Xenopus tropicalis: one gene and its partners. The protein of the gene in region 3 interacts with the protein of the main gene of each other region in a pairwise test. Links are inferred from orthologs where the notes say so. Each region holds a gene or a part of one and is shown on either strand. Other genes may lie near its edges.

The links. The genes of interacting proteins can lie anywhere in the genome.
Region 1: the proteins of rufy1 (region 3) and utp25 interact in binary tests that used the Homo sapiens proteins (3 or more experiments, as listed by UniProt). The link is inferred for Xenopus tropicalis from reciprocal best matches to the Homo sapiens genes RUFY1 and UTP25.
Region 2: the proteins of rufy1 (region 3) and rab39b interact in binary tests that used the Homo sapiens proteins (3 or more experiments, as listed by UniProt). The two-hybrid records come from large-scale screens. The link is inferred for Xenopus tropicalis from reciprocal best matches to the Homo sapiens genes RUFY1 and RAB39B.

What each region holds. Positions count from the first base shown.
Region 1 is NC_030681.2:15,264,843-15,269,109, reverse strand, and holds the start of utp25 (digestive organ expansion factor homolog), read right to left. Parts: upstream 2,801-4,267; 5' UTR 2,777-2,800; coding exon 2,670-2,776; intron 1,394-2,669; coding exon 1,354-1,393; intron 251-1,353; coding exon 1-250. Other genes in the region: tbcc (tubulin-specific chaperone C), read left to right, coding at 2,842-3,981. UniProt on the Homo sapiens protein: Component of the ribosomal small subunit processome for the biogenesis of ribosomes, functions in pre-ribosomal RNA (pre-rRNA) processing. Essential for embryonic development in part through the regulation of p53 pathway.
Region 2 is NC_030684.2:50,653,971-50,658,257, reverse strand, and holds the start of rab39b (ras-related protein Rab-39B), read left to right. Parts: upstream 1-1,487; 5' UTR 1,488-2,686; coding exon 2,687-2,901; intron 2,902-4,287. UniProt on the Homo sapiens protein: The small GTPases Rab are key regulators of intracellular membrane trafficking, from the formation of transport vesicles to their fusion with membranes.
Region 3 is NC_030679.2:31,726,735-31,730,234, reverse strand, and holds part of rufy1 (RUN and FYVE domain-containing protein 1), read right to left. Parts: intron 2,593-3,500; coding exon 2,495-2,592; intron 1,631-2,494; coding exon 1,511-1,630; intron 1-1,510. UniProt on the Homo sapiens protein: Activating adapter involved in cargo sorting from early/recycling endosomes. Regulates retrieval of proteins from endosomes to the trans-Golgi network through interaction with the dynein-dynactin complex.

The DNA of each region.
Region 1 (4,267 bases), on a different chromosome or scaffold from region 3:
GCCCGTGGCCTTCCCCGTCACTCTCATCTTCATTATCCTCATCCTCTGCTTCCGATTCCTCACCCACCTCTTCTGCCTCATCTTCCTCTTCTGCTTCTTCTAGGGCTTCTTCTTCCTCATCATCACTTTCTTCTTCCTCTTCATCAGACACAGTATTCAAGGTGGCGAGCAGCTTGTGGTACATGTTAACCGGCTCGGGATCACTCTCTGCCTCGCTCTCACTTCGGGATTCATCCTCCGAACTCTCAGGCTAAAATACAGACAAGTCAGACTTATAGTAACTAGAAATATCAGCAACGCATTTGTATTTTATATAAAAGCAATGTACAGGTTTCTGTTATCTAGAATGTATTCCTGGGCTTTCTGGATAAGGGATCTTTCTGTAATTTGGATCTGCATGCCTTAAAGAGGTGGTTCACCTTTAAGCTAACTTTTAGTACGTTATAGAATAGCCTATTCCAACAACTTTTCAATTGGTCTTCATTATTTATTTTTATAGTTGTTTTAATTATTTGCCATCTTGTCCCAACTCTTTTCAGCTTTCAAATGGGGGTCACTGACCTCAGCTCAAAAAAAAACTATTACTCTGTGAGGCTACAGTGTTATTTTTACTTTTTGTAACTTTCTTTTCTATTCAGCCCCTCTCCTATTCATATACCAGTCTCTCATCCAAACCACTCCCTGGTTGCTATGGTAATCTGGACCCAGCAACCAAATAACTGCTGAAACTCCAGACTGGAGAGCTCTTGAACTGAAAATGAAGTAACTAAAAAAGCTACAAATAAAAAATGAAGACCAACTGCAAATTGTCTCAGAATATCACTCTCATACATAATACTAAAAGTTAACTCAAAGGTGAACAACCCCTTTCAGTCTACTAAAAAATCATTTAAACATGAAATAAACCCAACAGAATTTATTTGCCCCCAATAAGGATTAATTATTTCTTAGTTGGGATCATGTGCAGAGAATAAGAGAAAGATGGCCTTCCCTTAATCTGAAGCTTTCTGAATAACAGGTTTCCGGATAACGGATCCCATACCTGCACTAACATGGCTGGGTAGTAACATGAAAGATCACACACATACTCCCTTATGCCTTCACATAGATATTACAGTTCTACACCCATAATTAGTTGAAATATAAAGCTAAGGGGAAGTAAAGCCACAAACTATAATTCTGTATCTGTCCATAAAGTAGGTTTAAAGTGTTTTAACGTAAATTGAAATTTCCACCCATCTCTTCCATTGTGATTTATGTTTAAAGAAGGTTTTAAATAGACATTTGCAGTATATATTGGCAACAGCTACATTCTTGTTTAAACTGGAAGGCTCAGGCATTACAGTCACTCACCAGTTGAACCACCTGGGTTGTTTCTTGTTTCTTGGAGACTCTGCAAAGAGAAAAGGGATCAGATTTACAATGTTTAATAACAAGCTGGTGGGCCCACCAAGACATACAATCAGTAGTCTGTACCAACCCCCTGAACCTCAAAGTACCTACTAACCTAGCTGTTTAAAGGGGAACTCCACCCAAAAAATATGCAGCCTTTTCTTGATTTTTAATGTTATAATATGGTTTGGAACAGTTCCCTAAGCCCCGCCCCCTGTTCCCCTGCTGATTCGGCTGGCTACTTGGAGACTCAAATAAAATGTCCTCAGCCTGCCTTCAGCCTGCATCCTCCCAATCCCACAATTCCCTGCACACTGATGTCAATAAGGAAAGGAACATCACAGTACAATGCATTGTGGGTTATGTAGTTCCTGCATGCTGTCTGTATGCTGTCTGTAAGCTGTGGAGAAGTTGTTACAATTTGTAACATCAGTGTTTTACTCGGTTTTATGTTCCTGCAGGGTAACACTTACTATATATATATATCTTCTACTCATGTCCCCTTTAGGGCCTCTAATGTGGCCCCTGACTATCCATAAGGCATTATACATTATGTTGATAATACTGCAAAATACCACTCAGTGCAATTATTATTATTATTATTATTATTAACATTTATTTATAAAGCGCCAACATATCCCGCAGCGCTGTACAATAAGTGGGTTACATACATTGGACATACAGAGTAACATATAAAGCAATCAATAACCGATACAAGAGGGGAAGAGAGCCCTGCCCAAAAGAGCTTACACTCTACATCCAATATATTAACTAAAGGCACAACATTGTCTCTACTCTTCTTGCTCTTACACCTGTATGTGCCCCCAACATTCCCCTTGATATCGGGACATTTGGGAACAGGATAAGTAACATGAGTATAGTTACCGGGACACCGGGACACTCTGGGCTGATTCTCCATTTCCAGATTCTGCCCAATATTTATATTCACCTTCCCAGCTACCCCTCCTCTATCTGAACATGTCATTGATCCCTTTGTCCCCTCCCCAAGGCAATAACAGTAACTCTGGCCTATAATGTTATGTATCATTGCTGTTCCATGTGCGCCCCCAAGTGGTTACTCAGGGCAGGGCAGGGGGGGGCACTACTATGTGTCCCCCCTTTTACTTTATTTTCCTGACACTCAAGCTGCTATTTTAACTCTTGCATTGGCCATGGTGTGTTTGCCTGGGAAATGTCAGACTCTAAGAGAGAAGGTTTGAGTCCCCGCCATCCCATCCCATCCCCATACCCGGACGATATGCTCCGAGGCTACTCACGCATCATAGAAGGGGTGCTGCTCCCCAAATTCCTTCAGGTGCTTCTTCTGTTTCTTGCTCAGGGCGCTGCCAGCCTCCTCCCTCCGCGGCTTCCTCCGCTTCCCCATCTCTGCACTCTAACCACGTGTGCGCCTCCCTCTCCGATTGGCTTCCGGGTTCTGTCGCATAGTTGATGACGTTGACCAATAATCACAGAGAGGGGCGGTACTTTTACGCCTGGTTTTACCTCATGACGCAAACATCAGCCGACTGCGAGGTACCGGCTCCCAGAAGGCAGTGCGCCGCAGACAGCGCCATGGAGCCGGAGATGCAGCCGGAGTTAGAGGGAGAGTCGCTGGCCCAGCGGGGGCGCCTCCCTGAGCGGTTACAGAGGCGGGACGAGGAGCGGCAGCGGGAGGCGGACAGGAAGCGGCAGGAGAAGGAGGGCCGCGCTGTGCTGGAGGAGAGGAGCGCCCATTTTATCGCCTCTTTCGGCTCTGACAGGGCGGGGATCGAGGAGCTGTTGGGCAGCGAGGAGTCGGGGGCCCTGGGGGAGGCTGCGGCTCGGTTGCAGCGATTGCAGAAGCTTCTGAATGACAGCCTCATGTTCCTCCCGCCCTATGATATCCGCCAGGCCCAGGACTCACTGGCCCGAATGCAGGGGGCTCTGGGGGCCAAACGCCAAGCTCTGCAGCCCCGGGGCAAGTTTGCCTTCAAATCCCGCAGGAAAGAGGCGGCCCCTGCAAGTAATACCACCCCTGCGGGGAATCCCACCCCTGCAAGTAATCCCACCCCTGCGGAACCTCAGGCCAAACCCAAAGCGGCGGAGCCCCAGGCCCTGTGTGGGCTGCGCGGACTCTCAGGCCAGGCCCTGTGTATGGAGGCAGCTGAGATCCAGAGGAGAGATGTTGCGCTGAGCCAATTGCAAGACTGCACCGTCACCCTGAGGGGCTCCCCCGCCACCCTGCATATCCGGGGCCTGCGGGGCTGTAAGGTGCTGTGTGGCCCCGTCTGCACCTCGGTGTTTGTGGACGACTGTCGCGACTGCCTGTTTGCCTTTCCCTGCCAACAACTGCGCACTCACAGCACCGAGCGCTGTCGCTTCTACATTCACGTCACCAGCAGGGCCATCATCGAGGACTGCGCCCAACTGCACTTTGCCCCCTTCACCTGGTCCTACGAGGGGATCCTGGGCGACTACGAGGCGTCCGGCCTAGACAGGGCCAATAATAATTGGAACCAAGTAGATGATTTCAACTGGCTGGCCAGGGATGTCCCATCTCCAAACTGGGGTGTCCTTCCAGAGGAGGAAAGAGTCACCGACTGGGCCTGATGCTCTGGGGACATTGGGCGGCCAAGGAGGATTGGCACAAGTTCAGGTGGAAGCTGGACATTGCTTGGAAGACCCAAGAGGAAAGGATAAAGCATGAGCGCTACATTGCCTAAAGGGATTTATATTGGAACTCGCATTCCTGGCTTCTAAACAGTTGGAGCCTTTTGCCTCAACCCTTATTTGCTGGCCGTACAGACATGGTGCGGGCCTACAGGTGTTTGGGCAGAGTGACCGGCCATTGGTATCCAGTAGAGGGGACTTGCCTGTGTAAATAGATGTTATACGT
Region 2 (4,287 bases), on a different chromosome or scaffold from region 3:
ATATCCATTTAACTAAGTTTAGCAAATGTACAGATGATGGTGGACAGTAATGTATGTTAAATGTTAAAATATTTTTTTTTCACAATTGTCACTGACTGTATGTATGATGTATAAGCAAACTGTGTGAGATAAGGCTTAGCTGATCCACGGGCAGAAACCTGGGATGTGAGTGGACAGGGCCTTCCTTTCAAAGCATTATATGGAGAAATCAGGTCATAACAAGCTTATCCATGGCATGAGAGCTGCATGCATAATAAAGCTATTGTTAGAGAGCCTGGCGGTTATTATAAAGAACAGAATCAGTATTGTTGAGATAATCAGTTTTTATAAAACTATTTTAGGCTTAAGATTAACCGTCAGAAAATTCATATGAATATATTATTGTTAATCTGAATCATGAAAAACACTGGAGGGGGATCTGATGGAGTTGTTTCTGGGCACTGTCTTATGGCAATCATGTCTCCCCTTTGTTTATAAATGTTTGTGGCCTGGGAGACTATGGGAGGGGAACCCCAGCTACACAGCAAGCTACAGGTACAGTTTGGTTCTGTCCTTGGTCTGTAATTGCTGCTGGTTTGTGTTGTAACATGGAAATACATAGACACTGGAATTTGTTTTAGGACACATTAAAGATGTAGAATGAGGCTATGCCAGTGTTGCTCTCTAGTAGTATCTCTAAAATCCCCCAATTTCTTTTAACATTCTAAAAAAGGTTGTTGGGCCACAAGTGGTTGATCCTTCAGGCTAAGCAACGTTCCCTGTGGCTTTTCAGTGTTATTTGTAAATGTAATTTACTGTACATTTCTGTCTCCTAAAGCCTTGTAGCAGAAGGTCAGTGTTGGAATATTAAAGCCATAAGGGCAGAGATAGAAGGGACAGTACCAGTTATAGATACAAGTAATCCTAAAACCGTTGTAAATACGTAAAGAATATCGTAAAGTTGCTTAGATTTTCAATTTTCTCTTTAGTTCAAATGTTTCCGTATGGGTTTTCATCAGGATACTCAGTCAGAGACTTCTCCTACACACATATTAGAGCAGTGATCCCCAACCAGTAGCTCAGGAGCAACATGTTGCTCCCCAACCCCTTGGATGTTGCTCCCAGTGGCCTCAAAGCAGATGCTTATTTTTAAATTTCTGGTAAGGAGGCAAGTTTTGGTTGCATAAAATCAAGTATAATGCCAAACAGAGCCTTCTGTAGGCTGCCAGTCCACATAGGGGCTATAAAGTAGCCAATTATTGCTCTTATTCCTACTCCTAGAAACCTTTTTCCTGCTTGTGTTGCTCCCCAACACTTCTTCCATTTAAACGTTGCTCATGGGTATAAAAGGTTGGGGATCCCTGTATTAGGGGACTCACAGGTCCTATATATCCCACTGAACGGATTGTTTTCCTCCCCCGGCCAGTGAAAGTCTTTGTGACAGCTGCTCGATTTCACTGCAGATTACGGTAGGGGTTGGGGCTGCGCCTCTAGGCAGGTGATTACGGGAGCTGCTGATGCCAATGATGAGTCAGAGTGTTTGGTGCTGATGTTGCTGCCATTTCATCAGCTCTGGGAGCCCAGCATCCTCTGTGCGGCGTCTCTTCTCCATCTTCCCACGGCCGGAGTGTGCTGCTCGTCGTACTCAGGGCCATCGCAGCCTCTCGCAGCGACTGGTCGCAATTACCGGGGGCGCAGCCGCTGATCGGCCGTGTTGCTGCTGGAGAAAGAGCTTGCGGGCCTGCGCTGGATCCGGCCGCGGTTGGGCATTCGGTTCATGGGAATAACTGCGAGTGATGGGCCTTAATGTGTCTGGCTGCCGGGCTAAGGCGAGCTGGAAGGCTAATAGAATTGGGTGATTGATCTGCTCTGGGAGACTGCTGCCCTTTCCCTCCTGCTTTGTACTGCAATGTGCACAGCACCCAGCCCAGGGCCGCTTCTACCCCACTAGGCTGCTTGGCATCTGCTTAGATTCGGTAGCCTCGCATAGACTGTTCGGCTGTACTGCTGGAAGATGGAGGCAGCCTAAAGTTACCATTTAGCAGCCTGTCAATGATGGAAGAGTGAGGAATCCACGGTGCCATTCTCCCTTTGTGCTAAAGGAGCTTTTCATCTTTTAAGAATATGGGCAGTTTGAGGACAAGCTGTGTATAGTTCAACCCCCACACAGCCTGGGGCCTGTTTACCCTCTCTCTAGAACTTACATAGCTGTCTATTAGCATCATTACACCTATCATGCTGCCAGAGGGCAGGAAGAAATCTTCATTAGGACTCCATAACCACTGACTGTAATTAACTCTGAAGTAACAAAAAATAGTCATTGTGGAGCCTTATTTGTTAGAATATAGACTTTTAAAGAGCTTTAAACATTTCTGTTGTACTCCTGGTCTAACACAAGGGCAAATTCTAAAGGCCACTGGATAAAATAGCATTGCTAATTGTAAGAGTAAAGAGCTTTACTGCAAAGGCCATAGTGTTTGCCCCCTAACCACATAATTACATGCGTTAGCCCAAGATCTTTGTTTATACAGCATATAAATGGTGTAGTCTCTTCCTTTTGGAAGCCTTGGTTGTGGTCCTTGAGGAGCAGTGGATACCCAGAGGTCTCCTTGCCTCCTGAAAGCAACCAGGACATCTCTGCTATAAGCTCCTATACATTGCCAGGAAGTTTGGCTTAGAGGGTCTAGAACTGTGGAAATATAGAACAATGGAAGCAATTTGGCTATACCAGTTTCGTCTCATTGTCATTGGAGACTCAACTGTGGGTAAATCGTGCCTCATTCGAAGGTTCACAGAAGGCCGCTTCGCTCAAGTCTCTGACCCAACTGTAGGAGTGGATTTCTTCTCAAGGCTGGTCGAGATTGAACCAGGCAAGCGGATCAAGCTACAGATCTGGGATACAGCTGGTCAGGAGAGATTCAGGTATGGTTGCCAGCTTTTCTTTGGGTGTTCTCACCTCCACCAGTCAGGTCCCAAAGTGGTTAGAATGGGGTTATAGGGATTTGTGGGATAAAAATGATCGGTGTGTGCAATCTAAATAAAGAGTGAGTATGGGCATACGATAGGGAAATTAAATATCATTGTCAAAATGCAAGTGTCTTTTGGAAAAATACTTGGAACAGTTTTCCTGTTTTACCAACTCAATACTAGCAAAACATAGGTGTACCTTCTGTAATTTCTGATGCTGTTATTTGGGTAGACTCTTCCTAAAACCCTTGTAGCAAAATAGGCTTTGGCCAGATGTCTTACTAAACATACACAGCAAAATGAACCCAAGTTAAATGATAGGTTGTATTTTCTTTTTAGTATTGGCAGCTAATTCCTGTCTCATAAATAAAGAGAAAGCTTTTGTTTGTCAGGGTGTGGTGGTCTATGTAACAGTCACTCATTTGGTTTTCTTTTAGACAGGTTTCATTTCTCTATCCTTTTCTGTCTCCTGTGCATTCCTCTATGTTCCCTTCATTCCTATCTGCATATAGAACCAAACCCTGCTCCCATATTTAAAAAATGAAAATGTAATAAATGCTTCATAACACTGAAATAAGAAACTTTCTAAATATAATTAGTTGAATATTCTCTATTCCTGAAATCAAGTTTATGTCCCTCTCAGCAGAATGAAGAGAAACAGATGGGGAGAGTGAAGATAAACTTGATTATTTCAGAAATGGTATAGAATTTTCAGTTGATTATATTCAGAAAGTTTCTTATTTCAGTATGAAGAAGCTTATGTTACATTTTTATTTTTGTGATAGTTTCCCTATAGTTTCCCTTTAGTATAGTTTCCCTTTCTATAGCGGCATATTGTTGCTACAAAACCAAGGTAAAGCTTCAGCACATAGCTGCACATTTCCTGATGCCTACATATCTCACCGTACTTGTTGGTGCAAATCCTGGATTTGTAGGGATCAGTTATCCAATAGTAAGAAGAAGATTAAATATATTGAGTCTTGAGCCTTTACAAATATAACTGCAAGTTGAATTGGTACCAGTCATAATCCAGTGCAGAGGCAGTGCCCTACTGAAAAAAAATTGTGGAATACAGAGGGACCCAGTGGTAGGACTAGGAAAAGAAACCTATACAGTGCTAAAAAGTTTTGTTTTCTAAAGACAAACACATGCTTGTCTATCTATCAGTGTCTAAAACCTTGGTTGGGCTTCCCAAACTAAAGGCCAGTTAGGGTGAGATTTAAGGAGAATGCGGAATGTCTATTTGCCCAGTAATCCAGCTTGGAGGTAAGTGTGAGTGTGAGACTTGGAAAAACATATTTGCAGGCCTGGACATTCTCAGATCTATGGCTGATACTGCAG
Region 3 (3,500 bases):
AATTCACTCACCCTCCCATCCGAATGTGTGATAAGAGCTACCAGGCTAGAGCTTCAGCACGGAAGCTACAAAGACCAAGCTAAAATGGCAGCTGCTATCTTAAACTACCGGAGGGAGCTTCAAGGGCTGTTTACTCAGGTATGGTAAAGCTTTCTGCAGAATAATTATAGCATATTAGCTAGCACTATTGTGGCAAATCTATTGGTAGTAAAATGCCAAAATGACTTTCCTTTCCTTTTCCTTCAGAGCTTCTCCAGCAGAATCCATTTTTCAAAAACACAGATTTTTTTCATATTTAGTTTTGCAATTTCCCATGGGGCTTGCCATAATCTTCATTTCCCAGGGTGCTGAAGACATGTGACTTTTGCTCTGATAAACTTCAGTCACACTTTACTGCTGCACAGCAAGATACACTGATATCACCCCCTCCCTTTCCCCCTGCCAGCAGCCAATCAGCAGAACAACAAGAAGGTAGCAAGATAGCAGCCAGCTGAAAGCAGTTCTAATGTGTACTGCTGGCTCTTTCTGAAAGCTCAGACTCAGGCACAGTGAGATGCCTACACAACAGTATTACAACAAAAAAAAAAAATACATTTTTGGTTCAAGAATAAGATTTTAAATTGTAGAGTGAAGTGTTTGCTATGTAAACAGTGTAATTTAGAACAAAAGTACACCATAAAAATTATGACAGAATCCCTTTAAACAGTCTATAGAACAAAACTGTTACATGCTACAGGCAGAGGCACATGGGGAGATTGGTTGCCCATGGGTAGTCTCGGCTACGGTGGTACACTGTGTGCCACTGGCCTTAACACATAGTTAGGTAGGTTAACTGGGTGCTATGCATTTATCAAACTACCCGCCATCGTATTGGTCAGGAATTTGTTTTGGGGCTTTCGATAGTAAGGCTAATTGGCATCTGCAATTTCCAAGCCTGCAATCTGCATCAGGGCTTTTGATGATTATGTTTAGTTTTGGATAAGGTGCAAAAGGGAAGATGCAGTGAGGGTTAATCTTTGTGATTCCCTTTTTTATGCTTCAAGTAAATAAGCCATTATTCAAAGATGGATTTTGTAATTAAAGGAGAAGGAAAGGCAAAGTCACTTGGGGGTGCCAAAATGTTAGGCACCCCCAAGTGACTTAAATCGCTTACCTTTTACCCCGGGCTGGTGCCCCTGTTCGGAGAGAACAGCACCAGCCCGGGGTAGCTGCGATCGCTTCCTCCTTCCTGCTTCCGTGCGTGCATGCGCAGTAGAGTGAAAAAGACGAAGTTTAACAGAGAAGTCGGCTTTTCACTCTAATGCGCATGCGCCGGTCCTGGGAATTAACCGGCAAAACTAAGCCGGTAAGGAGGAAGCGCTCGCTACAGGTACCACGGGCTGGTGCTGTTTTCTCCTAACAGGGGCACCAGCCCTGGGTACAAGGAAAGCCTAACATTTTGGCACCCCCAAGTGACTTTTCCTTGTCCTTTAAGGCTTAGGTATTTTGTGGGGAAACCCTCTGCCCTTACCATGTTTTATTAAGCTTTTCAAGTTGCTGCTGTAAGGATCCTATTTTGGCTCCATGCTCCATTTTCATTTTATTGCAATTTTCTTCAGCTGCTTCTCTAGTCTTTTCAGATTTCTGCAGCCTGACAAATACAAAATTGAGTTTAAGCAGCTTTTAGAAAGGAAGGCACTGTAACATAAAAAAACAACTTATGATATATACTATATATTTAATACATACGTATTCCTAAGGTATACTTAATAAAATCATACATGTAATATTTAGTCATGGACTCCTGTAGTGGAAGGAACCCTCATTTATCACTGAGGTGCAACTCACAGCACACAGCAAGGGGAAAAAGATATTTCTGACGAGAGGAATTTCTCACAGATTAAAAATATATAACATTTCATTGCAGCTTTGAAAGCACAATGTAGGGCTGTTAAGCAGTGTTGTTGAACATTTTCTATGTAGTTGTCCAAACGTTGATTATATAGATCAAGGGTCCTTTTAAACAGGGGGCCAAGTTCATGATCCCTCACACTGTTGGGGGGCCTGACTATAGTTAGTCCTCAACCTACGGCTCCCCACCGGCTCCCCACCGGCCCCCCACTGCCCCCTCTCTCCTGGCTATAATTTGTCTGCCTCAGCGTGGTCCTTGACACCTCATTAGCGTCAGACAGTGGAACGCAGTGACCTTACGCGCTGGGGCCGAGAATCACGCTGAGGCACCAGGGGTGAGGACACAGCGGGGACAGGGGACGGGTAAATGACCTTGGGGGCATATCCAGCCCGCAGGTCGTAGTTTGAGGACCCCTGATATAGATTGTCAAGGATGGGTAATATTCACATGATATGGTTATGGAGCCCACGGACAGCCCAAATGCTACAGGTAAAGAGCTTTTATTTTTTATTTTTCTTCTGACAACCAAATCATATTAATTTCTGAGGATGTAAATTGTAGGAAGCCTAGAGAGCTTTTCAGATTTTAGTGGAAGCAACAAACCTTTCCTCTATTTGCTTTAGTGCCGATGTCAACTGATCTCCTTTTGCTTGTACTGAATTCACAATTTCATTTTTCTTATGTAGGGCTGTTTCTGCATCCTATTAAATACAAAAGCTGAAATTAATACAAATAAGCAGGTGAAGTCATTTCTAAAATGGCGATGGTGAGTTGTTTTTCAACTTTATGACCTCTGATTGTGAGCTGGCTGCAAGTCTATATGGTGAAGGACCCGGGGTATACACACCCGGGTCAGCGCTTACTTAGGTACTTGTTTGATCTGTATTCACGTGTTTAACTTTTTATTTTCAGTAATTTTTGAATTACGGAGCTAGCTCATTAGACTCTCTTATTTATTTCACATATAATTTTTGGTTTTTGTGTGTATCTTGATGCACTGGGCACCAACTATTTTGCTCAGTAAACATTTCACAAGAGGACAGTTTGTTTTAGGCTGTTGTTTTTGCTTCATCCAAAACATTGTGTCAGTGTCTTGGTGAAATTTATTTCAAACAGTTCAAAAATCTATAACCAGAACCTCACTGATAACTATGCAGTATATCTGGTTAACAAAAATAAATAAAGAAATAGAATAAAGAAAAAAAAAAAAAAAAGACAATGCTACATTGATACCACCCAGGATACAATATCCGCATCTTGTGTACATTGTAGCCAATTTAACATGCTTCGCCTAGTCTTTGCTTGGGAAAATTTTTAGACATTATGGGTGTACAGAAATACCCTTTTGCAAATCTTAACTTGTGGCATGACCTATATTTGGTAAACATGGTGGGCAGATACACACAAGATGAGGCTGAGACTAAATTGCTCCACAATTATAGTAAACATACATATAGTAAACATACACAGGCCATGTAAAGGAAACTTACTGAACAAATATTCTGCTTTGTTCTCAGCTGTTTCTTTACATATTTTCAAACTAAAGCTATATGATATAATAAAGCTTACTTCAGGCATATCACTTGTTAAAGGAGACATATAGCAGAAG